Linked DNA regions of Diceros bicornis minor. The protein of the gene in region 1 interacts with the protein of each later gene in a pairwise test. Links are inferred from orthologs where the notes say so. Each region holds a gene or a part of one and is shown in the gene's direction. Other genes may lie near its edges. The genes, in order: TFG, CSTF2, ANXA11 and PEF1.

Region 1 (6,908 bases):
TCTGGAGTTTCTCCTTCTGTCTGGAGTTCTCTTAGTTAGCTGACTGCCACCACAACAGAGCTGATTCTTAGGGAGTCACATAACTTCTCCTTTGAAAATCTCACCCAAGGAGGAACTTACAGCCTTTCTTTGGTTCCCCGGAGGGTAGCTGAGATTAAAAATTTCAAAATGATTTATACTAACTACTAAAGGAGAACATGATGAAGCACAGGTTTCATCTCACTTGCTTATAAGGCTCATGGGCTTTGGCGCATTTCCTGTCCAGGCTGAAATCTCCCTTTTTCATTCTCAGGATTTCCCCACTTGATTGAAGAGTTCTAGCCACAGAGACTTTGATGGAGAAAGAGCTGACTCTCTCCCTCAGAACCACAGGACAACTCTCTCCCTTCTTCAGATGTCCCTGAAGCACAGAGAGTAACCTTCAAACGTAGAGCCACATTTCCCCCCTTGGTACAGGTGAGGTCAAAGGTATTTCCTCACACTGCTTCTCCTTTCTTCACATATTCCAACTTGCACACTTCTGATTCAAGGCTATTCTTGGTGCTCATTTAAGACCAAACTCACCTGGACATAGGACAGAGGGCCACGTGAGCACGAAGCTCAATTTACTCTGGTTCAGTGTCTTTCTAAGCGCCACACAAAAAGGAGGGGAAGATGTTTTCTGACTAAGAGCACTTTAAAGGTGTGATTACTTATAGAATTCCTAGAACCATCTTCTTAATGGCTTGATTGAGGCTTATCCCAATAAATGTGACCATAAGTGCTTAGTAAATGATAATTGTATGATAACAGCCTTTTGGCTTCACTAACAAAAGGCAGCAGTAACTAAAATCAGTGTCTACACGTACAGTGGGAGAAACCACGTTCTTGGTAAGGCTGGTAACTGGTTCAATTCAGGTTATCGCTCTCTGGTCAGTTATCACCTGCATTTATTGGGAGCATAAGTACAGAGACCTCTATCATCAGCAACTGTGGATACATTACAGAAACTAATAACTATTCCCTTGACTCAACAGATATTCATTGAATGCCTGCTAGTCACACAGGGCAATCAATGCCAGTTGCTGGGAGGGGTAGAGAGAATATAATCACTGCCCTCAAGTGGGGTGGAGGCAGGGGTGGTGAACAAGCTTCTCAAAGACAGAATTATAAGTAAGGATAAGAACAATCACATGAGATTTCATAAAGAACTAAATGTCTAATTGTCAAACGTTTGGTACAAAGTCAGGGTTATAATGTAGTCCTCATGGTCTTCAACAAGACCACAAAGAGATACCATTTATAGTCGCCCACAAAATAAAAAGTCTCAATGATACCAACAGTTGGCATTATCTTATAGTTAAATATTTGCATAATCTACCATTCAGCAATCCATGTATTAGCATATAATCAAGAGATACTGTTGTACCAGAGACATATACAAGAATGTTCATGGAGGCATGCAGGAGAAACTGGAAACAACCTAAATATACTTTGATAGGAAAACAGATTCAAAAAAATTTGTGGTATTTTCTGCCAAGGAAATATTACACAGCAATGAAAATGAACTCCAGCTATATGCCACAACATGGATATATCTTAGTAGCATAATATTGAGCACAAAAATTATGTCCCAGAAAACCACAGAGATGATACTAAATATAATATCTATAAACAAGTAAAATTGAACATATTCCACAGGCATACATATATATGTGATTAAACTATGTAAAAGATTGAAAAAACAACAACGAAACCAAGGGATTGTGAGACACAAAATCCAGAGCGGCATGGGGACTACATGGGGGAGGAGCACATAGCAAGACATCATTTATTGATAATGTTCCAATCCTTGGGTTGGGTAGAGAGTTTCAGCTGTTCACTATGCTCAAATTAATTTTTAAAATGTAGTTGTTATATAGGATCAGGAACACGTTTTTGTGGACAATTTAGTATTAAGCTGCAACCAGAAAATGGGCAGAATATGGTTTTGGTTATTAAGGTATTTATAACCTAACAAGTCAATTTGACAAACTCAGATGATCATTTTGTGTGCTTTTCGATACATGCTCTCATATGATATATACATAAAGCCAAATGTCCTCCATTTCATGCTCAATCACAATATTGTAAGCCTACATCCAGCTGGATAGCAGGAGGCAAAATCTTTTACAGTTTTTTATTAAAAATTTAAAAATGTACATTTCTGGAGAATCCTGGGGAAATGCTTTAATGTTGCCTACGTGTCCTTCTTGTCCCATGTCACCTGAGCCTCGGATCTGGCTTCCAAATGATGCTTTACTTCCTCCTTTCTCACTTCTTGCCTCAGGCAGCTCCTGCTTCTGCTTTGACCTGAGGAATCATCACCACCCCATCTCTCAGTTTCCACAGTGGCAGCTGGGAACAGGTGTAACATTAAACATGACTTCACTAATTGCTTGGGCATGAAGCATGAGGGAATTGGCAACATAAAGAACCTCAAGCTGCTTTCCGAGTCCACAAGCCCCAGCCCCTCCAGAAGACTACCTTTTGAGTGTAGTCAAAGGTACACTTTGACTCGTCCTAGCTTCCAGCTGGCCCCAGTGTAACAGGGATCAGTTTATTTCTCCTCAGCGGCAGGACTCTTGAATATGTGCCCCTTTCCCGGGAGCCTAGAGAGAGGAAATTCTTTCCCCTCGTTCCAGGCTAAGGTTCATCACCTTATCTCCCGCCCCAGGATCTGATCTCTTTCTAGGAATATTGACGGCGGTATAATTCACTTCCTTCAGGGAGAATTTTACCTCTGCCATATTTGTCTGGTTTTATCCAATCTCAAACCATCTCAAAGACATCAGAATACTATTATTGGACAGCAGTTCTCTCCCCAAGTTTGGATTACTCAGTTCTAAATAACAAGCAATGAAGAACAGTCTTTGGAGAAAATCAGCAACTTTTTTCATTTCTTCTACGGTCCTCGCTCCCCAATTTCTGCAAGCATTTGCTCAAAGAGCAATATACACAGGGTTGCAAAATACAATTCAGAAGCAAAAAGCATTCTAAACTCACACATTTCACTCTCACATAGAATTTTTCAGACTTATAACTGCAAAAAGATCACACTATTTACACTACTAAAACTTCTCACCCTGAATTACTCTACCCCAGGTAAAGTTGCTTGCATCTTTTAAAATAGCACCGCCCCCCCCCCCCTGCTCGCCCAACGTAGGGTTCAGTCTTAGCCAGGGCGCTTCTTAACATAAATACCCGTATTCAAAACAAACGCTTTAGCTGAGAAGGAAAGAGTATATAGGGCACGCTCAAATGCCTTATCCTCCAAAAAGGCTTCTGGAATCCTTAATCCGCCTTCATTTCGCAGCGTTTACCCTTTACACTCATAGGTCTGTTCTGTCTCGTAACCGCTCCTGGAAACTGCTTGCTCACAGACTGATTCATCCCCAGTCCCAGCACCCTGCGTGGCAGAGCGTAGGCGCCAACAGTGAATGAATGAGTCTGCAGAAGACAGGCGGGAAAAGCGTTCGCTTCTTTCGCGATACGACTAGAACTACAGTGGTCACAAAACAACAACAAAAAAAACCACCCAAAATTGGACAAACACCCACTTTCAACCGGCTCTCAAAAAGAGCCCAAAACAGCGAACTACACGCCCCGACAGGCGCGAGACGGTAAGCGGAAGCCTTCCAGAAAACCGGAAGTGCTGGTCACGCCCCGCGCATGCGTGACCCCGAGCCGCTCACACTTCCTGCGCTCGGTCATCCAGTGAGAAAGCGAGGACTGCGGCCCACGCACGCCCGGGCCTCGCCGGCTCCGCGCCGGCGCCGCTGCGCATGCGTCCTGGGGTGGCCTGTCGCCGTGAGGCGGGGCGAAGGGACAGATTTTGTTCTTGCTCCCGCCCCTCTCTTCTCTACCTGCCACGTACTGGGCCGAGCTCTCGCTGGGCTCGGTGGGTCCGCGCGATTGGCCCGGCCCGCCGAGGGGACCGAGTGAGCCGTGAGCGCAGCCTCCCGACGCCCCGGAGCCCGGCGTCCGGCCAGCCGAGACCGCGAAGCGGCCTCGGAAGCCGGTATGGCCGCTGAGACGGAGGCTCGGACGAGGCGGGCCCCGGACGGGGAAGCGCGGGGAGGGCCCCGCTCGAGCCGGCGGGCGGCGGGGCCGGAGCGGCCGTGGAAGGGGTCGCGGGCCGGGAGGGGGAGGCCGGGTGGGGCCCGCGGGGGGAGGGGAGCGCTCCGGGGTGGAGGGGGTCCCGCAGGCCCGGTGGCAGGGCGGCGGGCCTCTGGGGCTCTGGGGCTGTTCGGGCCGGATTCCGCCGGCTCCAGGGGTCGCACTGGCGAGCGGGAGCTGTGGGAGGCCGGGGGCGAGCGAGCGGCCCCCGCCAGAGGGCCTGGGAAGGGCGAGGAGGGCGGAGAATGGCGCTGTGGGAATAGTGGATTGGGGTCACTGGAGAGGAACCTCGTTGCTTCGCTGTGTCAGCGCTGAATCAAGCGCCGTCGGGAGGCCTAGCCCAGTTTTACAGTGATGACGATCATGATCGCTAACTTGTAAGAGTTTACTTTGTTGGGCGCTAGACTGAGTATTTTAGATGCATGATCTCCTTTAGTCGTCACAAAGATCCTTCCAGATTTAGATATTATTTACATTTTGCACATGATGAAAGTGAGGCCTGGAGAAGTACTTGCCTAAGGGCACACGGCTAGTAGTGGGAATCTTGACCATCTTGCTACACTGCCTCTGGTCAAGCAGGATTTGAGGCTCCTTGCGTTCTTCGGAATAATCAAGAGTTGATTTGCTTAGAGTTTCTTAGAGGAAATTTCTACCCTCGGGAGGAGCCTAATCAGGCCCCCTGATTTGAACCGGGCCCTACCCACCGGGTTAGTCGAGCTTGAGGTTTGGCCACTGAAGCTAGATCCTGGTTCAAGAGGCAGGCTTTTTATTTGCATTTGGGCAGTCGCTTTATTCTCCCGCCCTGAGAACAGTGTTCCTGTTGGAAGGTTTCATAAGTTAATGGCTGTGTCATTTCTGGACTTGAGAGGGAGTGGGGCAAGGACAAGATGGGAGAAGAAAATGCTGTAAGGATCTCACCAGCAGTACTGGGAACTAGTGGTTTATACCAGTCTCTACCTTGTGACTGAAGTTAGAGAAAAACAGGACCTGAATTCTTCTGTTACATAAAGAAATTGGGGATGGGATTTCCCCCAGCAGGGAAAATTCTGTGGCACCCTTAGTTTTGTGACAGTGTGCATGCCTTGAGGAGATGACTGCACACACTGGGGACAACCTTGAGGAAGAAGCCCTAGTTCAGGCCGCAGGGGGTTTCCAGTCCCTAAGAAACACCAAGGAATAAGTGAATTTGCAGGCAAACATGGGTGATACAAAGTAAGAGAGACTGATGTTGTCACATCCATTGGAACTGAGCAACAATCCCCCCATAGTCAAAAGGACATACTATCAATTATATTCGATGTTGGAAATTTCTCTTAATTAGGAGTATGTGTATTGTGGGGAGTCACTTCTAGTTACATAAAGAAGGTACAGTCTGAAGGTCTGTCTTAGGAACTGACCTGAGCGTACAGCTTCTTCCAATCCCTGTATTAGAACTTAATTATTCCTCATTGATGTTTTGTTCAGGAAACAAAAACAAGCCTTTAAATACCTGCTATATGCCAGGCACTATTCTAGGTGCTACTGAGGGTAGATAGTACCATCTTGCTGAGGCTAAGCCCTGGTCCTTGACTATGTTATTGCTGGTTTACATATCCTGTGGGTAGGAGAAGGTAGCGTGCATTGAGTTACTGAAGTTCTTTATTACTCTCAGGCTGTAAGGCAAACAAGGTGGAATCTGGACCGTCTTCTTGAAGTAATTATACTTCAGAGCTTGGCACATCGCAGGTATTCAGTAGCTGTTTCCTGAATGAAGAGAGCATGTTTGGCTAACGGGTGAAAAGGTCCTATGGAGGTTTCAGTTAATCACAGTCTTCATGAGAAGTCCATTATGAGAATTGGCAGATAAAAAACTAACCGTATCTTATTTTACATTACGACAAACACACCATCCAGATCGTGGAACACAGTCCGCTCGGTCCTGCACTGACCTTAGAGGGTTAGATTCAGTATGTAATGCCTCATTGCATTAAAGATTTATTAATAAAATATAATCTGTTCAGAGGATGGCAAGGGGGTCTAAGACATTCATTTAAGGAATAGTCAGTAGGAAGGACCTAGGGCATTTATATGAAGAACTTTAGGGCATTATATGTAATATTCATGAAATGAGTTAGGACTCATGAAAACTCAGGGTTGGTATTTGAAGGGTTGGTGTTTTGGGATGGTGGGGTGCTTTCAAACACATACACACACACAAAGAATAATTGTAGAGAAGTATGAAAACCAAGTATGATGTTAATGAAATAACAAATTTAAGAGGAGAAAACAGAAAGCTGCCAGTAGAAAAGCATGAGATTGAAACCAGAATAGCCAGTAGGAGACTGTAGGGCGCTCTGAACAGTCTGAGAGGTCGTTTACGTGGGGCAGGAGGAGAAAGGAGTTGATGCTGGGGAAGTGCAAAGTGGTGTTAGATAATGTATTCAAGAACATCTCGGTCTTGAAAACAAGAGATAGGCCTTGAGAAGAAGAGATATTAACACATTATTTAATCGTGAGTGTTTTCTCTATTATATAGTAACCATTTAAATTACTAGAGACTTGAGACATTATTTTGAGTTTAGGATTACAAAGTCATTACAGGATGCTCACACTGAATAACCTGAAATAAAATTGAACTAAAACCCAAGAGGGGGAAGTTCTAAAGCAAATTAGTATTTAGTGGTCAGTTCTCTGACAGTCTTCTTTCTTTTCTAAAGTGTGCACTCTGATCTTACACACCCACTGAGGTCGGGGGGGGGGGGTGTGCATTATTGGATGTGTAGAAACAATAG
Region 2 (7,439 bases), on another chromosome or scaffold:
CCCTCCCAGACCTCACCCTATGTATCTCTTCATCTGGCCGTTCATCTGTATCATTTCTCGCATCCTTTAACAAACTGGGAAATGTAAGTAACTGTCTTCCTGAGTTCTGTGGGCCACTCTAAGAAATTAATTGAACCCGAGGAGGGGGTCATTGGAACCTCTGATTCATAGCCAATCAGTGAGAAGCACAGAAGACAACCTGGACTTGCAACTGGCATCTGAAGTAGGATGCAGGCAGTCTTGTGGCAGAGCCTGTAACCTGTGGGATCTGATGCTATCTCCAAGTAGATAGTGGCAGAATTGAGTTCAAGTGTAGGATACCCAGCAGGTGTCACAGAGAATTGCTTATTGTGGGGAAAAACCCCCACACGTTTGGTGACCAGAATTGTCAGTAGTGAAGTGCTCTGTGTGAAAGTAAAGGAGACACACAGGAGAGGAGAATGGTAGGTTTTTCCAACACAGTAGGGAAATGCAAATCAAAACCACAATGGAACACCACTTCACCCCATTAGGGTGGCTATCATAAAGAAAAAAACAACAGAAAATAACAACTGTTGGTGAGGATGAAATGGGAACCCTTGTGCATCGCTGGTGGGAATATAAAATGGTGCAGCCACTGTGGAAAATGGTAAGGCGGTTCCTCAAAAACTTAAACATAGAATTACGACACGATCTAGCAATTCCATTTCTGGGTATATACCCAAAATAATTGAAAGCAGGGACTCAAACAGGTATTTGTACACCCATGTTCATAGCAGCATTATTCACAATAGCCAAAGGTGGAAGGAACCCAAGTGTCCATCAACGGATGAATGGATAAACAAAATGTGTTTGTTTGTATACATACAACAGAATACTAATCAGCCTTAAAAAGGAAGGACATTCTTTTTTTTTTTTTATAATTTTATTTATTTGTTTATTCCCCCAAAGCCCCAGTAGATAGCTGTATGTCACAGCTGCACATCTTTCTAGTTGCTGTATGTGGGACACGGCCTCAGCATGGCTGGAGAAGCAGTGCATCGGTGCACGCCCGGGACCCGAACCCAGGCCACCAGCAGCGGAGCACGCGCACTTAAGCGCTAAGCCACGGGGCCGGCCCAGGAAGGAAATTCTGACACATGCTACAACATGGATGAAACTTGAAGACATTAGGCTAAGTGAAACAAGCCAGTCACAAAAGGAAAAAGACTGTTATGACTCCACTTACATGAGGTACCTAGAGTGGTCAACTTCATAGAGACAGAAAGTAGAATGATGGTTGCCAGGGTCTGGAGGGAGAAAAGAATGGGGAATTAGTGTTTAATGGGCATGGAGTTTCAGTTTGGGAAAATAAAAAAGTTCTAGAGATGGATAGATGATGGTTGCACAATGTGAATATACTTAATGCCACTGAATTGTACACTTAACAATGGTTAAAATGGTAAATTTTATGTTATGTGTATTTCACTAGAACAAAAAAAAATAGCAGGGCCGGCCCCGTGGCTCAGCGGTTAAGTGTGTGCGCTCCGCTGCTGGCAGCCCGGGTTCAGATCCCGCGCGCGCACTGACGCACCGCTTCTCTGGCCACGCTGAGGCCGCGTCCCACATACAGCAACTAGATGGACGTGCAGCTATAACATACAACTATCTACTGGGGCTTTGGGGGGAAAAAATAAATAAATAAAATCTTTAAAAAAAAAATAGCAAACTAAAACTATCTCTGAGGTTTTATAAGAATCAAGTAAGATCTATGTAGAAAAGCTTTGTAATCTATATGGCTCTTCACAAACATTAGCTCTTTTTAGTCATTATCACCCTGTTTACCCCAACCTGATCCCATTACCCACATGCTCTACCCAGCTATGCTCACCCAGCAGTATACTGTTGGAGTTCAAGTGCTGTCCAATGATATCCACCTCCATTTTGCTAAATCCTGGATTTCATGTGCCAAGGCAACAGTGTCCCATAGTTCTGGTTCTGAAACAGAGCAAGCCTCCAAATAGATATAAGTTTTAGACAAGCCTGGTGGATTCTAGGGAAAAAAACTCAGGGACTTTCTCCTCTTTACTCAGTTTTCCCCAAAGCTTGGCTTGGAAGCAGTCCCCACTCAGCAACAGGAGGTCACCATGGCATTGCCAAGAACAAAGTAAATATTCCTCCACTTCAGTTGACCACCTAACTCCCTGGCTTGCTACCCAGCAACATATCTCATAAGGCATATCTCTTTGAGCAGGTGAACAATCCTGAAATTTCTTTGAAGGAAGAGGATTCTGGGGAAGGAAATGTATTCATTAAGCATGAATTGAGAACAAAAATAGTTAGATAAGAAAAAAAAATGAAAATGAAAATCACAAGACTAGAATGACCAGCTGTGATGGATTGGACAACTCTCTGTAACCTCAGAGTTGAACCCTCACATATTCCCAGAAAGCATAGATATTGCTGCAGAACCAGTGTGATAATGCAGTAGTGCAAAAGTTAGGAATGGTGTTTCTTTCTGCAAAGCAAGCCACTTGGTACCTACACCCAGATACTGACCAGGATCTGTGTCAGCATTCAGGTGCTCTCTGAGAGACCCAAGTTTCCTTAGCTCTTTTAGGCGCTGCTCATTGAGGACTTCTCCTAACATAGGTAATGCTACAGTGCCATCTGGAATCTTTCTCATGCAATATGTCTATCCAGGAGTTGCTGCCTTTCCAGATATTCCCTGGAGGACCAATGAGGGATTTCATTCCATGACTCTTTGAGGAGCTTTAAATGTGGGTCAAACATGAAGTAGTACTTACCTGGCCTTGGAAGTTTGACTTTCTACGGCCAGCAGAAAGAACCCGAGTCTCTATGCTCTCACAATCTTGAACATCTTTGCTTGCTTCACTTGTACCTTATCCAAGATTCTTAACATCATCAACAAGATAGGATAAGAACTCAGGACTTTTCCACAAAACTTTCTGCCAATGCCCCACAAATCTTAACTGTGGTTTCCCAAATTCTTTGATTCTCCATTATGTACCCTTTCTCTTTTGCTCAAACCCCCCAAAATAACACTTATTCTATATATTTAGCCCCATTTGTGTAGAAATGCATCTTTCCTAGTTCTCCCCCTACCTCTTCATACTGCACCTATATCGTTGTGTTAACTGAGCCTCAGTCAGAATACCTACAACAGCATCCAATGTCCCACCTTCTGTCTTCATTTTTCTATAACCCAGAGGCAAAAGAAATGTGTCACTCTGGGAGCATTGCAGTGACAGGAAGACTCTCGTGGACAACAGGCACTGAGGCAGGGGTCACTAGCACATGGCCTATAAACGAAACACAAATGTTGAAAAGCAAAAGCTTAGGAAATATCCCTCCCACACATCTCCTCTTTTATAACTAGTAGAATAGGGCTGGTTGATGAAGTGATAGAACCAACAACCCATTCTCCACAGACGGCTGATGGCAGCAGAACAGGCCAGGTTAAGTGCCTCAACCCATTCTTGAGTGGTTCATTACTATTAGTCATTGACCCACCATCACCAGGTCACACGCTCTCAGTTCTTTTCCAAAAATGGTAATAAAGTATATTGAGCTATCCATATTCTCTCAGTTATACTGGAAGGCAGAAAATACAGCAGTTAAGCATTCAGCCTCTGGAGCCAAAGCAACCTGAGTTCAAACCATGCTTTAGCTGCTTGCTGTGTCCCACCGGTCAATGATGTTTTCGGATACCCTGCCTGCCAATGTCCTCCGCCGCCCCACCGCCTCACCACCGCCAAACACACGGAGCCCAGGGGCTATGCGAAAGCAGCCAGGCACGTCTCCCTTTACCTCCCCATCTCCTCCGCTATGCCGGCGCCTTCACGTCGAGAGCCCCTCACTCTCTCAAGCTGCCGCGACCCTCTTTCCGCATCTCACTCCGTACACTCACAGCTTCTACAAAATGATAATCCCCACGCTGGTGGGCGGGGCCAAGTATTCCCCTCCCCTAACAGGGCGGGATTAAAATGAAAGTACCGGTTGTTAGCAAACGACTTCCCTTACCATGGTAAAACCGCTACCGCCATCTTTATTGAGGCCGACGATTACTTGTTAGCCTAAAAAAATGAATAAGGAATTCTACAAACTAAAATCCTTCAAATGAGCCTGGGGCCGCCGGAATCCGGCTCCGAAAGGAGCTACAGCCCAGCCAGAGTGGGTTAGCGCTCTCGTGGACATAACGCGCGCCTGCTGCTGACGGAATAACGCCAGGGGAGGGGCCCGCTGTCCGCCCGGCCCAGGCGCTTCCGGCTTACGCGCCGTACGGAAGCGTATTCGGCGCTGGACTCGCGCGCCGTACGGAAGTGTGTTCTGGCGCACCGGAAGCCGCCGGAAGAGAGCGATGGCGGGTTTGACTGCGAGAGATCCTGCGGTGGATCGTTCTCTACGTTCGGTGTTCGGTGAGAGGAATTCGGTGGAGCCAAGCATCGGTGGGGGACAGAAAGAGAGGGAATGGCGAGGAGTGTCCCTTGCACCTCGTGAATCGCCGCGGGAGCCGGTTGTGGGTCGGGCGTGCAGCTCTACCTGCCTATCCTGTGGGGCGGCCAACCTGGTGGACTCGTGGGCAAAGTGACGCTCCCCTAACCCCGAGGTTTCGCAGCCTTTCCACGATGTGCCTGAGGAAGTTAAATAGCGTTCAGCTTCTATGTGTTTCTCCTTCCATGAGCTTCAATTATTATCTAGAAGCGAGGGCGCATGGCAACTGTCCCGTACTACTTCTCACTCCCTGTCCCAGAATACAGATTATGTGCTGAAGGTATAGATCCTTGTGCCCACTTTCCGCCTTCTCATGAGGACTTTCATTCTCTGCTTTTTGCCCCTAACATTTTAGTTCGTCGATAACGGTAGCGACCATCTGGCATCTTAAGGTGGATTGTAAATAAATGAATGAATGAACGACTAAGACCTCGTCAAAGAAATTTTAAAGAGGATCGAATCTATTCTGAGTAATGTTTTCAGCCGAAATAAGTTGTTTTTTTATCAAAGTACATGTGATGATTTAAAGCACCTTTTGGAAGGACATGACAAAACAGTTCAGAATAATTTTTAAACATCCTCCACTACATTCATGGTCATTCTCCTTTGAGTGTGTGTATGTGTGGAAATACGGACATAGAAGCCGGTTTTAAAAATTATAATATTGATATTTTTAGTTGTTGTTGTTAAGACTTGGAGACTTTCAGGTAAATACCAATGCCTAAGTATTTATTTTCACCAAAGTTAAAGAAAATCTAACACTTGTCAGATCAGTCTGAGAAGTGATATTTAGGAGTGCCTACACCTTTTGTAGTTAGTCTCAGTGGTTTATTTCTCTTGTAATTAAAGTTAGCAGGCAAGATTGAAATCTTGTCTAAGGGAGTACCACAGAACTGGGATTGGAGAAACACCATATTTTGAGCCAGTTGTTACATTTTCAATGATATAAGTAGACACTGTGTACTTTCTCACTATAAAGATCTAGGTTACAAACTCAGAACTTAATATGCTATTTTCTTCCTTAGTGGGGAACATTCCATATGAGGCTACTGAAGAGCAATTAAAGGACATCTTTTCTGAGGTTGGACCTGTTGTTAGTTTCAGGTGAGATCCCCTTTTACTCCTTGGTGAGAGTTTCTTAAAAAGCCCCACAAATTTGGCCCTTAGTAATAGTGGCAAGGTTTTTACTGGTGACTTTATACATGCATTCTTTTTTTTTGTTTGTAACAGCTTTATTGAGGTATAATTCATGTACCATTCAATTCACATTTAATTTTACTAAAAGGTACATTTTTTTTCTTTTTTTTTGTTTTCCTTTTTTTTTTTTTTTGGTGAGGAAGATTGGCCATGAGCTAACATCCATTGGCAATCTTCCTCTTTTTGCTGAGGAAGATTGGCCCTGAGCTAACATCTGTGCCCATCTTCCTCTATTTTGTATATGCGACGCCGCCACTGCATGGCTTGGTGAGCGGTGTGTAGGTCCATGCCCGGGATGCACACCTGCAAACCCTGGGCCACCGAAGCAGAGCACGTGAACCTAACCACTTTGCCACCAGGCCGGCCCCCATTTTTTTCATTTAAAAAAATGTTTAAAAAATATTTCAGTGAGGCAGAGTGATGAGGTTATTTGTCTTACAGTGGACCAGATCAGGACATAGCAACGTTAGCAGGAACCCTGTGTGTATGTAACATTTGTGCCTGATACTTGGTTCTGCTCTCCAGATTGGTATATGATAGGGAGACAGGAAAACCAAAGGGTTATGGCTTCTGTGAATACCAAGACCAAGAGACGGCACTTAGTGCCATGCGAAACCTGAATGGGCGTGAATTCAGTGGGAGAGCACTTCGAGTAGACAATGCTGCCAGTGAAAAGAACAAAGAAGAGCTAAAGAGTGAGTATAAACCCAAGTTGTATGTAACATGAGTTAGTAAAGATGTAACAATGAAGATTTTCCATTTATGATATGTTTTAGCATCTGCTGAAGTGATTAGCCACACACTTTCTTTACTTGACCCATCTGAAATGCCTGCATTAGGGAAGTGTATATCTTTGAGAGACAAGGTAAAATTGACTTTAGAGAGTTGACTTTAGAAGTCCTTCAGTTGCCAGGGAGTTGATTTCCAGTTAAAGATGAGTTCAGGCTTACCAAGCCATTAGTAGTGTTAACTATGTCATTAGTGTTTGCCATTCCTGTAACTATGCCAGATCTGTAAATGGTGGGACTACTAAGGCGTTCTTATGACTTTTTTCATGAGGTAATAGATCCAGGAATTCCATTTTGAGGTTAACATCCTTTTCTGTTTAAATCTTTTGCTTAATGACTTGTCAAAAGAAATCGATATGCCTCATTCCTAATTTAACATTGTCCACCCATGTGTCCCAGCTTTCCTCTGAGAGCAGAAAATACACTCCTTCACTTCCTCCACAGAAATAAGAGACTCGTAAATCACTTATTTCTCAGCTCCAGAGAATTTAAAGTTATCAACAGGTCCTTACAGCAGCCCTGGAAAGTAGATACTTGAAGTGGTTTAGCTCTTTATTTTGTCTTCTTAACCATTTTGTACTTTCTTCCTGATCAGGCCTTGGCACTGGTGCCCCTGTCATTGAATCACCTTATGGAGAGACCATCAGTCCTGAGGATGCCCCTGAGTCCATTAGCAAAGCAGTTGCCAGTCTTCCACCAGAGCAGATGTTTGAGCTGATGAAACAGATGAAGGTGGGAGGAGGCATTAGGTTATGAATAAATCAAATCACATCAGATTTACAAGGAGTTAATTAATAAAGTTAATGGAAATGATTCTCTGAGCTCAAATAGAAAGTGTGCCTATTGACCACCATTTCTTGCACCTTCAATATTCTATATGTGCACAGTGTATTTCACATTTCATGCAAAGAGCTTTCCATTTTTGTTACACCAACACACCTACACAATCTGGCTGGGTTTTTGTGGCCCATAGATATCAGA
Region 3 (7,375 bases), on another chromosome or scaffold:
TGCTAACATCTGTTGCCAATCTTCCTCCTTTTTTTTTTTCTCCCCAAAACCCCAGTACATGGTTGTGTATCATAGTTGTACAGTTGTAGCTCTTCTATGTGAGATGGCTTCTATGTGGGATGCCTCAGCATGGCTTGATGAGCAGTGAGTAGGTCTGTGCCCAGGATCTGAACAGCGAACCCCAGGCCACCAAAGCAGAACACGCAAACCTAATCGCCACACCACAGGGCCAGCCCCTGAAATTATTGTTTTTTGAAAAGCCATAACTTTCCAAAAATGGAAAACACACTTCTAAATAATCCATGAATTAAGGATCAAATCCTAATGGAAAACAAAAGAAGTATTCATAACTGAGAGATAGCAAAACATGGCATATTAAACAAAAGCATGGCTTATTAAAACTTGTGATATGTAGCTAAAGCAGGTTTTAGGGGAAGATATATAGTCTTCAATACATTTATTAGAAAACAACAAAAAATTCTGAAAATAAATGACCCTAATGTTCAACTCCAGAAACCAGAAAAAGGACACCAGAGCTAACCCAAAGAAAGAAGGAACAGAACTCAAAGATAAAAGCAGAAATTAAAACAATAGATAATTTTTTAAAAATTAACATGATTTAAACAATTAAAGGTTGGTTCTTTGCCAAGTTTGGCAAGCCTTTCTGGATCCCATCCTCTCACCTACCCCAGGGATCCTTTTTGCAACCCTCTGTTATGTGGGGTATTTACGATTTATTTGTTTCTCCATCAGATGAAGACCCGTATTAGAGCAAAGGAGTTTTCTTTTGTCCCTCTTTCCTTGGCACCAAGTGCAGGGCCGGTCATATTGGCTGTACTCAACCATTGTCTGTTGAATGACTCAAAGTAAGAAAGATTATAATAATACTATACTACTTGAACTGCAGGCCCTCCAGAATCAGTTCAACTGACCCCATCTCTTATCAACAGAGTGATTAAGAATTGTCTTTCAGAAAAACTGCAAAGTCATGCAGTCAGGGCGTGCGCAAAAGAAGAAATCGTGAACTGAAGCGACCTCAGAACCAAAGATTCTCCTCCCCAGGAATCCAAGGACCAGGACATGAGCAGAACTTGAAATTTGGACTTTTATTGGAAGTGAGGGGTCCCTCATTCAGGAAGATCCGGTGTTAAAGTTCCTTCCCCACCTCATCAAAATGTTTAGAACCCCATCATAAATGTTTAGAACCGTGTCATAAATGTTTAAAACCTTACCATAAATGCTTAAAGCCCACCAATCAAAACCTGTCCCACCAGCATTTCCACGTGCTAGCCTGTTCTCTCTAACCTGTTCAAGTTCACCCAAATCCTGAATAGGGAGACAGACCTGAGGGCACAGGCCCCGTGTCTCAGTGCAGATGAGTCTTGCAGAATAAAAGCTGATTCAGCCCCCCCACCCCCCGCCAGCCAAAGGCTGATGCCGTAACGAATTGGCTTGTTTATGCGCATGGGCAGAGAGAACCCCAATTTTGTGCGGTAACACTACTCAGAGCTCTACGGCACCTCACCAAGTTACAAAGCACTTAACTTTCCCTTCCTTCATTTGATGTTTGTATCAGCTCTGAGAAGAATGAAGCAGGAGTTATTTTACATATTTTTATAGATCATTTTGAAGATTTTATAGGCGAGAAAACCGAGGCTGGGAGAACGCATCACTTCCAAATGGCAGAATGGGAACGGAACCCAGGTGTTTGAACACCAAATCTAGCGTCTTTTCCCCCACATGGTGTTTCCACCGAGTTGGGGATCAACACGGGTTTGTTGAAAACAAATGGTTGAAAATCACGAAAAGGTGAGCACAGTGGTAGCTATTTATCGTTTGGGCCTTGAAGAGCTCAGTTCTGAAGCAGGAAAGTGTGTGCTACATACAGAAGGAATTCCACCCTAAATGATTTATTATTTTTTAACGTGATATTTAAAGAAGCATTCGCTCAGTCAGGAGGAAAGTGCGCCATTCAAAGAAGCTCGCCTTCGCGGCGGCGGAGGGCGAGGGCGCAGAGTGACCAGGAAGGGGGGGACTGGGTGCGTGCCAGGTGACCTTCCAGGACGAGTGCCCCCGCCCAGAGAGCGCGACGGGAAAGAGAAGCTCCCTCGGAACGCCGCCGGTTCGCTGGGGGCTTCACGCCCGCGCCCCGAGTCCCGCCCGCTCCTGCGCCGCCCCGGGCGCCCCCCCCCCCAGAGTAATAACCAACCCTGGGAGAGTCTCCCGGGGCCTCAGACCCTCCGCTCCTCTTCTGCTCCGGGGAGCGTTTCCTCCGAGTCGCTCTGGAGCCTCCGGCCTGAGTCTCCCCTCACTCGTCCACTCATCTCCAAAAAATGCGGTCCAGGCCCGAAAACGAGCCGCGCCTTGAGGGAGGGGGCATGTTGGAGAGGCCGCGGACGATGACTGGGTCCCCAGCGTTGTAGTGAGACTGCGGCCGGGCTGCCCCAGGGCACGGCTTCTGTCAGGCACCCGCCCCCCTGCCGGGGCAGAGCCGAGGCAAGAGCCTCCTTTTCGGCCTACCGCGTCCAGTCCTTCCCGCTTCGTGCCCTGTTAAAATGCCAATAAGACCAGCAGCGTTGTTTTTAACAGCCCCAAACAGGCCACGATCCAAATGTCCTTCAGTAAGGACTAGGTAATAAAGAATGGCGACGCGCACGACGGCGCATACTGTGCATTAGTTAGTGATGTGGGGCCGCTGAGTCTCGAGTCGAAAAAGAATTTTCAGACACCAGCCGCTCGGTGGTTCGTGCACCTCTATTTTGTGTTCAGCGTGGGGACAGGACCCATGGGCAGTAGAGAGCTGCTGCATGGAAGTACCTGTATGGGGCCATTATATACCAGTTTAGCTATTTTTAGTATTCTATAGAAATGTCAAAAGAGAAAGTATTAGGTGGTCTGGTTAGCCTCAAAGATTAGGGTATGGGGGCGGATGAAGGAGATGTGTCCTTGCATTCCAAGGTACAATATGCCTCAAGGAACACATAGGCAGGAGAGTAAAGTCATTGATTGCCTCCCTGAAGGTAAATTTCTTCGCTCCTAGCCAGAGGCGATTGAGTAATGCGACGAGACTGAAAGAAGTCTCATGGAAAGAATTGGAAATTGTAAAACAAGTCATAAACAAGGTTTCGACCACGTCATTAGGAAGAACAAAAGTTGATCCAGGTGCGCTTGCATGTAAAGGCTCTCCAAGATACAGTGAGTAAAAAAATCACACTGCAGGAAAATAACTGCAACACTGTTTTGTAAACAATACATCTACATGGATATACTATACACAACAAACAGAGTGTGTTGTAGAGAGAAAGATCTGGAAGGGCACACCTAAAAGTGGGTTAGGGAAGTGAAGTCAGTCTCAGTTTTAAAAAAATCTTTTATAACTACCATATATTCATATATTTTTATAACTACCATATATTCATATATTACGTGAATGACCTTTTTTTAAAAAATAAACTTTATTTTTTAGAATAGTTTTAGATTTACAGAACAATTGCGAATCAGAGTTCTCATAAACCCTGGTTTCTGCTGTTATTAACATCTTATATCAGCATGGTGCTTTTGCTACAATGAATGAGCCAATACTGATGCATTATTATTAACTAATATCCATACTTTATTCAGATTTCCTTAGTTTTTACCTAATGTCCTTTCACCAGGATACCGCGTTACATTTAATTTTTATATCTCCTTCGGCTTCTCTTGGCTGTGACAGTATGTGTCTCAGATTTTCCTCGTTTTTGATGACCTTGACAGTTTTGAGGAGTACTGGTCAGGAATTTTGCAGAATACCCCTCAACTGGGATTTCTCTCATGTTTTTCTCACGATCAGACGGGAATTATGTATTCTTGGGAGGACGACCACAACGGGGGACACACTATCACTGTGGATTTATCATTCCACGTTGACCTTGATCACCTGGCTGAGGTGGTTTGTCCGGTTTCTCTACTGTAAAGCTACTCTTCCCACCCCCACCCCCATTTCCACACTGTGTGACTTTTTTTAATGCAGCAAGTTTTCTTTACCTTAAAGAGTCACTAACAATGGTACAGGGGACGGAAAGGGCTTGGGGAATTCCTCCCCCTAGCGCGGTGCAGGGCGGGACCGGTCGCGAGAGGCGGGTGGCGTATGGGCTCCGCGGCGTCCTCCTCCGTCCGGCCGCGGGAGCCGGAAGACGGGCAGCTTCCTTGCCCCGCCTCGCGGAGGCTGGTCCCCGCCCACTGGCCCGGGCCGGCTCTCACCTGGGGGCGGGGCCACGGCCAGCCCCGCCCCGCCCCGCCCCGGGGAGCCTAGAGCGGGCGCGCCCGCCGAGTTTTCCGGCCAGCGGGCTCCTCCACCCGCCCCGCTCTGACGGCTGCGGCGCCCGCGGGTCCGGAGCGTCCCGAGTGCCCCGAGCGCCCCGAGGACGGGAGTGGGACAGAGCGCGAGGCCGACCCAAGGCGCCGCACCCCGAACGCCCGCAGAGAGAGCCGCTGCCGCCCGCGTCCTCGTCCGTCCCTCGCGGCCCCCAGCCCCCGTGTCCAGTGGCCAGGTGAGTGAGGGTCCCCAGCCGGCCGGGGGCACGGGACGGGACGGCGGCAGGGCGCCGCGACCCCCGCAGATGAGGCCCGGACGGCCCCGCGCCCCCTCCCGGCGGCTTCCTGGTTGCACGGCATGGGGGCGGGGACGGGTGTCGCGCTGGTCCCGGACGGGCGTCGGCCTGGCTGCCTAGCTAGACCAGCGGCGGGGGCTGCCCTCCCTGTGGGGTGGGCGGTGCGCAGGCCGGGCCCCGGGGTCCACGGCCACGTGATTGTCCAGCGCGGCCCGGGCCGGCTTGGGACCAGGTGAACAAGCGAGCAGAAGGCGACTGGCTGGTGTGGGGGGTGGCCGGTGGCCCCTGGCCCTCCGACCCAGCTGAGTTCTCGAGAGTGTGCGCGCCCTTCTGGGAAAGGCTTGTGCTGAGGAGAGATAATAGAGGAGGCTGCCTTCAGGAACCTTCCTCTGGAACTGGGAGGACGCAAATTCCTGGGAGCTGCTAGTGTTGGAGTTGATTTGTAAGGCACCTTATTTGAGAGAATGCAGGATCCATCCCTGGTGCTGTGTTCACCTGTGTGTTTACCGTCTCTGCCTTTCCCCCTTCTTCAGCCTTGAACTACAATTTCAGGGAAGGATTCTTGGACTTTTGTCTCCCCCTGGGCTCTCAGCCCAACCCTCTGAAGGCTTAAAAAGGCAGAAATCCATATTGGCTTAAAGGAGAGTTGTGAAGTTTGTCATCTAGACACTTTGGAGAGGAGTTAAGCTAGCTAGAGCTAGCCCAAGCTAGGAACAGTCTGCCCTGGACGTTTCTGTCCCTGCCCCTCTAATCAGTGACCTTTCTATGGAGATGGCGTATTTTAGGACAGACTCTAGGTATCCATGGTAGCCAGCCACTCTGCCCTCCCTCCCAGCCTTTGCTTTGCTCTCTGCTGCCCTTGGGCATGGAGTGGTGCTGTGAGGGGTGAACCTCTGCCCTGCCCACGTAACAGGAACCAAAGCTTGCAGGCCAGGGCCAGGCTGAGCCCACGAGCTGGACAGGCAGGGTGTGTTACCTTGCTCACGGGTACCTGGCTTTCCTTATGTTCCTTCATTGCTTCCTTGCTTCAGTCCATTGTTGGGGATTCCAGGAGGATTAACATGGGCTCTTGCCTCAGGGCACTCGCTGTGCTACAAGGAGTTCCCTGACAAGAGAGGCCAGCTGAGGTGCCAGGGCAGTTTGTTGCCCTGGGCATCGGGTGCTCACTACGTCGGGCTCCTGCATCCCTCCCTACTCTCGTCTCTTACCAGTCTCTGTGCCTTGGTTTCCTCATCTTGACAATGGGGGTACTAACAATATCTGCCTCCCAGCGTTATTGTGAGGATTCAGTGCGTTACTATATTTAACAGCTTTACAGCTCAGACACTAAAGAGCAGTCAGAACAGGTGGTGACTGGTACACCATACCTGTGTGTCCCAGGTAGATGTCACTCACATTAGACATAAAGCTTACAGCAGGGCCTGGTGCATAAGTAATCATCTGTGAGTATCAACAATAATAATATAGTAATAATAGCTACCACTCCCTTCATGCAGCTGAAGATCTGGCTGAGTTGAACTGCTCCCCTTCTGACCTGTCCCTCTGTCTTAGCTCATGCTGAAATGCCCTCCTTCCCCCATTTCTGCCTATTAATCACCGCCCTCATGGGAGCCACCGAGGTGCCTGCTCCCAGCAGGAAGGGACAAGACATGCTCTGAGCCCACGCAGCCCTCCTCCTCCATTCCTTTGGCACTGACGCTCTCTCCTTGTGTAGTATTTGTATGGCCACATTTCTTATCTCTGCCCTGTTCTTTGTCTCTGGAGAGTGGGGGCTGTTTCTTACTCATCTCTAGGTCTCACAGCACCCAGGATGGGCCTTGCCTCATGTAGGTGCTCAGAAGATGTTAGTTGAGTGAAAGAGCCAGGCCAGGGAAGTAAGATTTCCCTGTTGTTAAAATATTAGACCTTGAAGGCTGGGTTTGGATAGGCAAAAAAAAAAAAAGTGGGGAGAGTGAGATAAAAATTATTCCAGACTGATAAGTGGGAGAAGGCACTGGCTGAGAGGCCAAGGTGGAGTTCCCTTTGATTCCTTTATGTAGCCAGGGCAAGGATGATCCGTGGGCCCCATCTTGATTGCTGTACCTAGAAGGCCAAGATGGATTGGAGATGCCTTGGTCACATGATTTGGGGAAGGATGGGTAGTTTGGGATGATAGGAGTGAGAATTGAGCCAGAATAGGTTAGTGGGGGTTCTTCTCGGGAATTCACTGCAGAACAGAGAAAAAAAAGCTGGTGCATGCAGGAGGTGAATGTAGAAATGAAATCCACGCCCAGTGCTGGAGGATGTTTGGAGGGCCCAGGACCTTTGTGGAGCTCCCTCTTCTCCTGGAATCACCTCCTTCTTCCTCCCTCTTAGCTGCCATCTTCCCCCCATAAGCCTGAAACAGTTCCTGGGACTTGGTCCTTTGGGGGTACTCAGGGGAGAGCCTGTGTGTGTTTCACAATTACAGCCAAGCAAACAGACTCAGGTCTCTCTGCATTTTTCTCTTCAACACCCTCTGATGCCATTGCCCCTAGAACACCAGGAATTTGAGTGATACCTAGATAGGAAAGCTCTCAGGGAAGATGAAGGAACTGAAGTTTCCTTGCTGGGAATTTGTGGTTTTTTTTTCTTTGGTGAGAAAGATTGGCCCTGAGCTAACATCTGTTGCCAATCCTTCTCTTTTTGCTGAGGAAGATTGGCCCTGGGCTAACATTCGTGCCCATCTTCCTCTACTTTATATGTGGGACACCTGCCACAGCATGGCTTGATAAGCAGTGTGTAGGTCTGTGCGTGGGATCTGAACC
Region 4 (7,648 bases), on another chromosome or scaffold:
CAACATGCCAAGGTCCAGAGATGATGGAGCACAGCGTGCTGGATGATGCGAGACAGTGCAGTCGGAATGCGGAGCGTGAGCAGGGGGACAGTGGGAAGCACAGGTTTATGAGAGGGCGTGTGGGGTCAGGTTTGCCTAATGGAGAATTCACTGACGACAGTGTGAAGAGTGGACTGGAGGGTCCTTAATTTGAAGAGACCTTCTACTCTGTAAGATGGAGAAATTGCTGCATATTTATTCTGCAAACAAAAATCCCAAAATTTGATGCCTTCTGGAATTTAAATCTTCCGTTTTGTCATAATATTTTCCCCTTTCACCAGAATTCAACAGAATCTATTTACACTCTTTCTTCACATGAGGTCTGTTAACCCCTTAAAAGGCTAGATCTTAAGGTCGTTGTCCTGAATAATCTCTGGGAATAGAACATATCAATGTACTCTCCATATGATCCCATAATGGAAGGGGAGTGCAGCCAAATTGCCATGTCTGCTGTTCTCATTTTTCTGTTGGTTCTGTGGAAAGCTGCAAATCACCCTCTGATCCAAAGCATCCAACTGGAATTTAAATTTCAGAACTGGAGCTAGTCAGAATCAAAGAGAATTAATTCCATAATAATTAAGTGGGTGTTGGTATTCCTTCTCAATAAGCGATACTGGAGCCTGGTGCTGAGCCAGGATGCCTGGGAGGAATGGTATGTCTCTAGGGGAGGCGATGTTTTCCAGGGGATGGGGCTTCCGTTACCAAGCTCTGCCTCCCCTCTAATGGCTCAACCACAGTGCTTCCATGAACTCAGGAAAGTGCTCTGTGCTCTAAAAAGGGCTGGAATCCAAGCTTTCTCCTTTGGCTAAAGATGAAACAATAACAGGAACTTCCCCACCCACCTCTGTCGGCCTCAGGTAGTTGAGGTTTTGGAAATGAGTTGATTGTTTTTCAGTCTTGGGAAGATCCCCATCTCCCTCTTTTCCACTCCTCTCCAAAATAAACACACCTGGGCCTGCCACAGGTCCTCAGAGGTGTAGCCCAGGACGTTGGCTTTGGCTGGTCTCTGACTGCCCGAGAGATGACTGGGATGCCCTGCCCCCAGAGAGCACAGATATCCCACAGAACGCTCTCCTAAGAGCCCTTTGCTGAGCAGAGAGGGCTGGGGTGTGAAATTCTCATAGGAGTCTAATCCTCGGCACCTAGAACAGAGCCTGGCAAGTGATGGGAACTCACTAAGTTAATACGTTTGTGGAATAAAATGAATGTGCATCATGTTACCCCAGTTTGCAGGCCAAGTGTCACTATTCTCTCTCCCAGCAAATATCCCTTGACTGTCAGCCCAGACTGCAGGACTTCTCCCCTTCTGAGATTTTGCAATTCGATTCCACCTATTCTGGGGACTTGGAGGGGAGGTGGTTACAAAAGTAAAGAACACAAGACCTACTAAGTACCCAGCAGTTAAAAGATTGTGGACCTGGGTTCAAATCTTGACTTCTCTATTATCTTTTTGATAGTAGGGAAGTCACTTAGTCTCTCTCAGCCTCAGCTCCTCATTATAATGGGTAATAGAATCTATCACAAAGGACTGTGGTGAAAATGAAACAACACATCGTACTTAGCACAATGTCTGGCACCTAGTAAGCATTCAATACAGGATAATAATAATAATAACTACTACCATTTATTGAATTCATGCCAGTCACTATTCTAGGCACTGGAGATAGAGGCGTGAATAAGAAAAGGACAATCCTACAATACACATGTAAACTTTAAAGAGGACAATTCAACTAGCAACAAGTATCATGAAAAAATGAGACACAGTGATATGACAACTAGAATGTGGTGGCAGTGGGGGCTATGTTACTTTAGACGTAGTATCAAGGAATGTTCCCCCAAGAAGGTGATAGTTGAACTGAGACCTGGATGGCCAGGAGGGGCCAGCCAGTGAAGTGCCTAGGGAAGAGCATTCTAGACAGAGGGAAGAGCTAATCTGAAAATCCAGAGGTGGGAATGAGCTTGGTGTGGAGACCAGGCCAGCTGGAGTGAACTGAGGAGGACAGCAGTGGCAGGAAGTGAGGCAGAGACGCAGGCAGGGTCTTGGTCATATAGGGCCATGAAGGTCATAAGGATGAGTTTAGATTTTATAAGAGTTACGGGAACCCTCTGGAGGAGTTTAAACCCAGGAATGACATTATCTGATTTACATTTAAGACAATCACTCTGGCTGCCCTACGAAGAACAGAGTGTGGGGGAAAGTGAAAGCAGGGCCATGGGTCAGGAAGCTATTGTAGTGATCCCGGCCGTAAAGGATGGTGTCTTGGGCTAGGGTGATCGCGCAAACAGGGAGAAAAGAGCAGATGTTACTATTTCTAGTATTACTAGTTTCTAGTATTAGTAATACTAGTTACTAGTATTACTATTTCTAGTATTACTATTTCAGAAATAGAGCAGGGTCTATTTCTGAACTAGACCAAATGGGGGTGGGGAAGTTAGTGGAAAAACAGAGACCACACAAGAGTGATCCTAGGTCTGTGGCCTGAGAGACTGGGTGGATTTTCTGAGATGGAGAGGAATGGATTTTGGGAAAAATATCAAAGAGAACTCTTACACAAGGCAGGCTGGAATATAGCACAGTGACAGTACCAAGTGCAAAAGGAGGCAGGCAAGAGAGTGGCTAACTCTGGACTTGCGGGAATGAGGGAGGGGTAGTTGCGGGGTGGGGTTGGAACTGAGCTTTGAAAGACTGGAGATGTGAAGGCTGCTGATCTGATGAAAGGAGTGGTTTGGGCATAAGCCTGGGCATGAGCAGGTGTGATAAGCCTCTTTTTCAAATCTCTTTACATATTTGTTCTGACAGCCAGGACACTGAGACTCACAAAGGTTAAATAACTTGCCCATGGTCGTACAGTTAGAAAGCAGTAAATCAAGATCCTCACTCCAAAGCAAGAGTGCTGGATGGTGGAACTGAACAAAGGAGTACAGAGGGGAAGACGGGCAGGGGATGTAAGATATAAGTTTGGAAATGTGAGGTTGGGCCAAAGGTCAAGGGCCTGGAGTGCCAGAATAAAGCGGTTGGGCCGTATTTTCTAGGTGGAGATGAAGAGGAGCCATTGCAGGCTGTCCAGTGGGCAAGCATCATGATTGGTTCTGTGATTTTGGAAAGCGCCTGGCTAGATGGTTAGAAAGTTGGGCTGGAATGGATAACACCTCATAACACTACTCACTTACTTATTTTTAAAAAATACAGTGTCAGGCACTGTACTAGGTACTGGGGATATAACAACAAGTAAAAACAGACACAATCTGTGCCCACATGAAAGAACTTAACAAAATAGTCGAATAAGCATTCAAATAAGTGTAGAGCCCGAATTACCAAGAGGCAAGTTAAGTACTTGACTATGAGGTCACTTGTAACCAGGATCTGACCTACTTTGGGGACCAGTCAAGACTCTGCTGAGAACCGGGCATCCATTGACCTCAGTTCTAGATCACACTCTGCCCTAACCCACTGCGAACCGGGGCAAGCCTCTCTGGACCACAATTTTCCCATTTATGAAAGAAAAGGCCCTAGATGATCTAACTTTCCTCCCACTCTGACGGTGTGGTACTTTCTTCTCCAAAGACCACAGATCTTACTCAAAGGTACTAACTGGCATGTGGTGTCAACATTAGAGAGTAAGTACAGACAGTCCCCGACTTCGGATGGTTTGACTAATGATTTTTCGACTTTACGATGGTGCCAAAGTGATATGCGTTCAGTAGAAACCATACTTAGAATTTTGATGTTGTTTCAGGCTAGGGATACGTGGTATGAGACTCTCTCATCATGCTGGGCAGGAGCAGCAAGCCACAAGTCAAAGGGGTCAGCCATGGTATCACCAAGGTAAACAACCAATACACTTACAACCATTCTGTACCCATAAAACCATTCTATTTTTTCAGTTTCAGTATTCAACAAATTACATGAGATATTCAACACTTAATTATAAAATAGGCTTTGTGTTAGACGATTTTGCCCAATTGTAGTGTTCTGAGCACGGTTAAGGTACACTAGGCTAAGTAAGGTACAATGTTGGGTAGGTTAGGTATATTAAACGCAGGTTAGGTATATTAAACGCACTTTTTTTTTTTTTTATGAGGAGGATCAGCCATAAGCTAACATCCATGCCAATCCTTCTCTTTTTGCTGAGGGAGACTGGCCCTGAGCTAACGTCCATGCCCATCTTCCTCCACTTTATGTGGGACACCGCCACACCATGGCCTGACAAGCAGTGCGTGGGTGCACGCCCGGATCCGAACCCAGGCCGTCAGCAGCGGAGCGCCCACACTTAACCACTGCGCCACACGACTGGCCCTAAACGCACTTTTGATTTAAGATATTTTCAACTTAGGATGGGTTCCTCATCATAAGAGGAACATCTGTACTTCCGCTGTTGCCTCTAGCCTTTCCACGAGGCCTCAGGCGGTTCCCCGTTGTCAGGGCAACCGCCTAAGCCCTCCGGCGGCGGAAACTTGAAGTGACGACAGCAACGACGCCACTATCATGCGTCCCATTTGCCAGGTTACAACATGGCCACTGCTGCAACACCCACCCAAGCCTCTCACTAAATATCCGGGACTGACCAGCCCTGTGGCCTACTCTAGGGCAGCAGTGGGAGAAACATCCGCGCCAACACAACGAACAAAATTTCGGAAACAGGACGCCGACGTTCAGGAGAAGCCCCTCCCGCTTCTCCGGAGTCACTCGACCACCGCCCTATACCGTCACTTCCGTCGACACATGCGCCCAGGATTGACAGTCGCGGACATCCAATCGAAAGCGGTCCCGCCCCTAGGCCCAGACAAGGGACGGGTTTGAAACCAGGAAGCCCCGCCCCTCGTCGACGTGTTACGTCAGAGTCGCCATGGCCAGCTATCCCTATGGGCAGGTGAGTGCGTGAGGGGCGGGGGAATCCAGGTAGGGGCCTCGCTACGTCCGGGCTCGGGACCTCGCTTTCCTTTCTCCCCGCTTTCTTCGCGCCCTTCCCACGCTGCGGTTGGCTTCAGCGAGGTCTCGCGCGGAAGAGAAGGGAAAGGGGACGGTCGGTCGCGTCTGTCACGTCACGTAGGACTGCACGTCGGGGAGGTCGTGTCGCGCCCCCTTTGACGTGGCGCACGGGAGGATTTGGGGGACTTGGATCTCATAGACCCAGGTTGGGCTCGGCCTGGCCCCACACCTTCCCAGGTCTCCGGCGGGGACCCTGAGCGGGGTCATCAACGCCAGTAGAACATTTAGACGCTAGTTCCGTCGGTATCATTTGGGGCGTCGGATAAAAATACACCCCAGACGTACTGCATCCGAATAATCAGGAGCCTCTGTGGCTTAGCAGGCTCCACAGGTGAGCTTCTTTGACTACTGACTTCGTCCAACACCCGCCTCCTTTCACACATAGGAAAAATGAAACCCAGAGAAGACACGGAACTTAGCTGAAGTGACTAGGCAGTTAGGCAGCAGAACCCAGAGCTGTCAGCCAGTGCCTCTTCCCCACTTGCCAACCCATCTCGATCCAGCCAAGAACACCGCAGCGAGGTGGTTCTGTGGCCAGAATCCTTTGCTGGGTGACGGAAGTGTGGAGGGGTAAGTGCAGTTTGGAGTCAGAGGAAGGTTCACATCTTAGCTCCATCACTTAACTAGTTTGGAGCCCTTGAGCAAGGTATTTTGCCTTTCTGAGCTGAAGTTAACTCCTCTGTAAAATAGGACCAAATAATAGAGTCTACCTCATAGAGCTGTTGGGAAGAGTAATGAAGTGATGCTTGTAAAGCATTTGGTACTACTAAGAGTGTAACAGGTGTTACCTCTCAGTGTTTTGATTTTTACCAGATTCTTAGAAGGTCAGTGCTGGGAGGGCCCTCAGAATAGTCCCTTCATTTTATTTTATTTATTTATTTTTGTGTTTGTGAGGAAGATCAGCCCTGAGCTAACATCCGTGCTAATCCTCCTCTTTTTGCTGAGGAAGACCGGCTCTGAGCTAACATCTATTGCCAGTCCTCCTCCTTTTTTTCCCCAAAGCCCCAGTAGATAGTTGTATGTCATAGTTGCACATCCTTCTAGTTGCTGTATGTGGGACGCGGCCTCAGCATGGCCGGAGATGCGGTGTGTCGGTGCGCGCCTGGGATCCGAACCCAGGCTGCCAGCAGCTAACCACTAAGCAGCGGGGCTGGCCCACTCCCTTCATTTTAAAAGGAGGAAACTGAAGCCCAGAGAGGGCTACTGAGTTGCCCAAGATCATGCTAATTTAGGAGATAAAACCCATGCAGGAAAAATTGGAAGACAACATTGTATGGGACATTACAAAGCAGTCGATGAGTACAGTCACATGGCAAAGGATGTGGCAAGAGCGCTCTGAGGGAGTGTAGCCCTGTACAGTTTTTGTACAGGTATTGGACCTCCATTATCTCAATCATGAAGCCCTGGAGGCATGCCGGCAGGGATTATTACCCCCAGTTGATAGCTGAGGAACGAGCCCAGAGAGATTAAGTGGCTTGCCCAGGGTCACACATAGCAAGTGAGGGGGTGAGGCCCGGGCTAGAACTTAGAAATCCTTTCATTGCATACTTAGCAGGGGTAGGAAAGAGAGAGGCCAGCCTAGGCGAGGGTTAGGAAGAAGTATAATCGAGCAGTGTTTCCCAAGCTCCGTTCCATTTGCTGAGTCTTGTGAGATGTTGATAGGTATTGCTAATGGAGGAGGATTTTTGTGGTTAAATGCATCAGGGAAATACTCTGTTAAATACAGCTGAATAAGTTGGTTCACCATAGGTCATCTCAGAATTCTTGATTTGTCAATATACATTGTAAATCTGCTAACAAGGGATAGAATATGCAGTATTTCTTAAACTTACCAACCATGGAATTCCCTCCTCCTCCCTTTTTTTATGTCTGGTCATTTTTCGGTAACACTAGTATTCCTGAGGAACACTGGGGAAACAGTCAGCCTGCGTCAGAATCACCTAGAAGCTTGTTGAAAACACACTTTTGGGTTCCACCTCAGACCTGTTCTGCACCCAGGAATGGCCAGGTGTCTACATTTTAATAAGCTTTAGGAGGTACTTTGTATGCATCCTAGAAACAGTGACATAGAAATTAAGAACCTGATCTTGCAGGTTAGACAGAACTGGGCTCAAATCCTAATTCTGCTGCTTAATAGTTACATGCCCTTGGACACATCATCTAAGGGCTCTAAGCCTCAGTTTCCTCGCTTGTAAAAAGGGAGGAATAAGACTTCATAGGACTGAAATGAGGATGAAATATAAAGCCTATAGGGAGCTTGGCACACTGCTAACACATAGTGTGTGCCAGTGCTGCCGCTGCTACAAATGCTGTTATCATGCCATGCTGCCTGGGCTTATGCTCAGTGAAATCTTGAAAAGGAGCACAGAGAGAAACGTGTCTGGAACGGAAGAAGAAATGCTGGAATAGCAAAAAAGTGCTTTTTTTCATATCCTTGTCTGCCTGTCCAGCTCCTGGTCCATGGTGTTCCAAGAAAGGAAATGTATTTTTTTTTAAAGCGTCCAAAGGCTTGGTGAGCACCACCTCCCCTCCACCCAGTACATAGCCCTGGAGGATTCCAGCCTATTGTTAGGAGTCAGAATTCTTGTAATTTTCCAATGCCCCAGCCCTAGGGTCCTC

The links.
Region 2: the proteins of TFG (region 1) and CSTF2 interact in binary tests that used the Homo sapiens proteins (3 or more experiments, as listed by UniProt). The two-hybrid records come from large-scale screens. The link is inferred for Diceros bicornis minor from reciprocal best matches to the Homo sapiens genes TFG and CSTF2.
Region 3: the proteins of TFG (region 1) and ANXA11 interact in binary tests that used the Homo sapiens proteins (3 or more experiments, as listed by UniProt). The two-hybrid records come from large-scale screens. The link is inferred for Diceros bicornis minor from reciprocal best matches to the Homo sapiens genes TFG and ANXA11.
Region 4: the proteins of TFG (region 1) and PEF1 interact in binary tests that used the Homo sapiens proteins (3 or more experiments, as listed by UniProt). The two-hybrid records come from large-scale screens. The link is inferred for Diceros bicornis minor from reciprocal best matches to the Homo sapiens genes TFG and PEF1.

Annotation. Positions count from the first base shown.
Region 1 is NC_080754.1:5,386,174-5,393,081, forward strand, and holds the start of TFG (protein TFG), read left to right. Parts: upstream 1-3,846; 5' UTR 3,847-4,039; intron 4,040-6,908. UniProt on the Homo sapiens protein: Plays a role in the normal dynamic function of the endoplasmic reticulum (ER) and its associated microtubules. Required for secretory cargo traffic from the endoplasmic reticulum to the Golgi apparatus.
Region 2 is NC_080781.1:93,991,847-93,999,285, forward strand, and holds the start of CSTF2 (cleavage stimulation factor subunit 2), read left to right. Parts: upstream 1-4,429; 5' UTR 4,430-4,692; coding exon 4,693-4,753; intron 4,754-4,780; exon of another isoform or gene 4,781-4,942; coding exon of another isoform or gene 4,943-4,943; intron 4,944-5,498; coding exon 5,499-5,577; intron 5,578-6,195; coding exon 6,196-6,365; intron 6,366-7,053; coding exon 7,054-7,190; intron 7,191-7,439. UniProt on the Homo sapiens protein: One of the multiple factors required for polyadenylation and 3'-end cleavage of mammalian pre-mRNAs. This subunit is directly involved in the binding to pre-mRNAs.
Region 3 is NC_080745.1:27,750,249-27,757,623, reverse strand, and holds the start of ANXA11 (annexin A11), read left to right. Parts: upstream 1-4,322; 5' UTR 4,323-4,529; intron 4,530-7,375. UniProt on the Homo sapiens protein: Binds specifically to calcyclin in a calcium-dependent manner. Required for midbody formation and completion of the terminal phase of cytokinesis.
Region 4 is NC_080752.1:46,549,025-46,556,672, reverse strand, and holds the start of PEF1 (peflin), read left to right. Parts: upstream 1-4,595; 5' UTR 4,596-4,886; coding exon 4,887-4,910; intron 4,911-7,648. UniProt on the Homo sapiens protein: Calcium-binding protein that acts as an adapter that bridges unrelated proteins or stabilizes weak protein-protein complexes in response to calcium.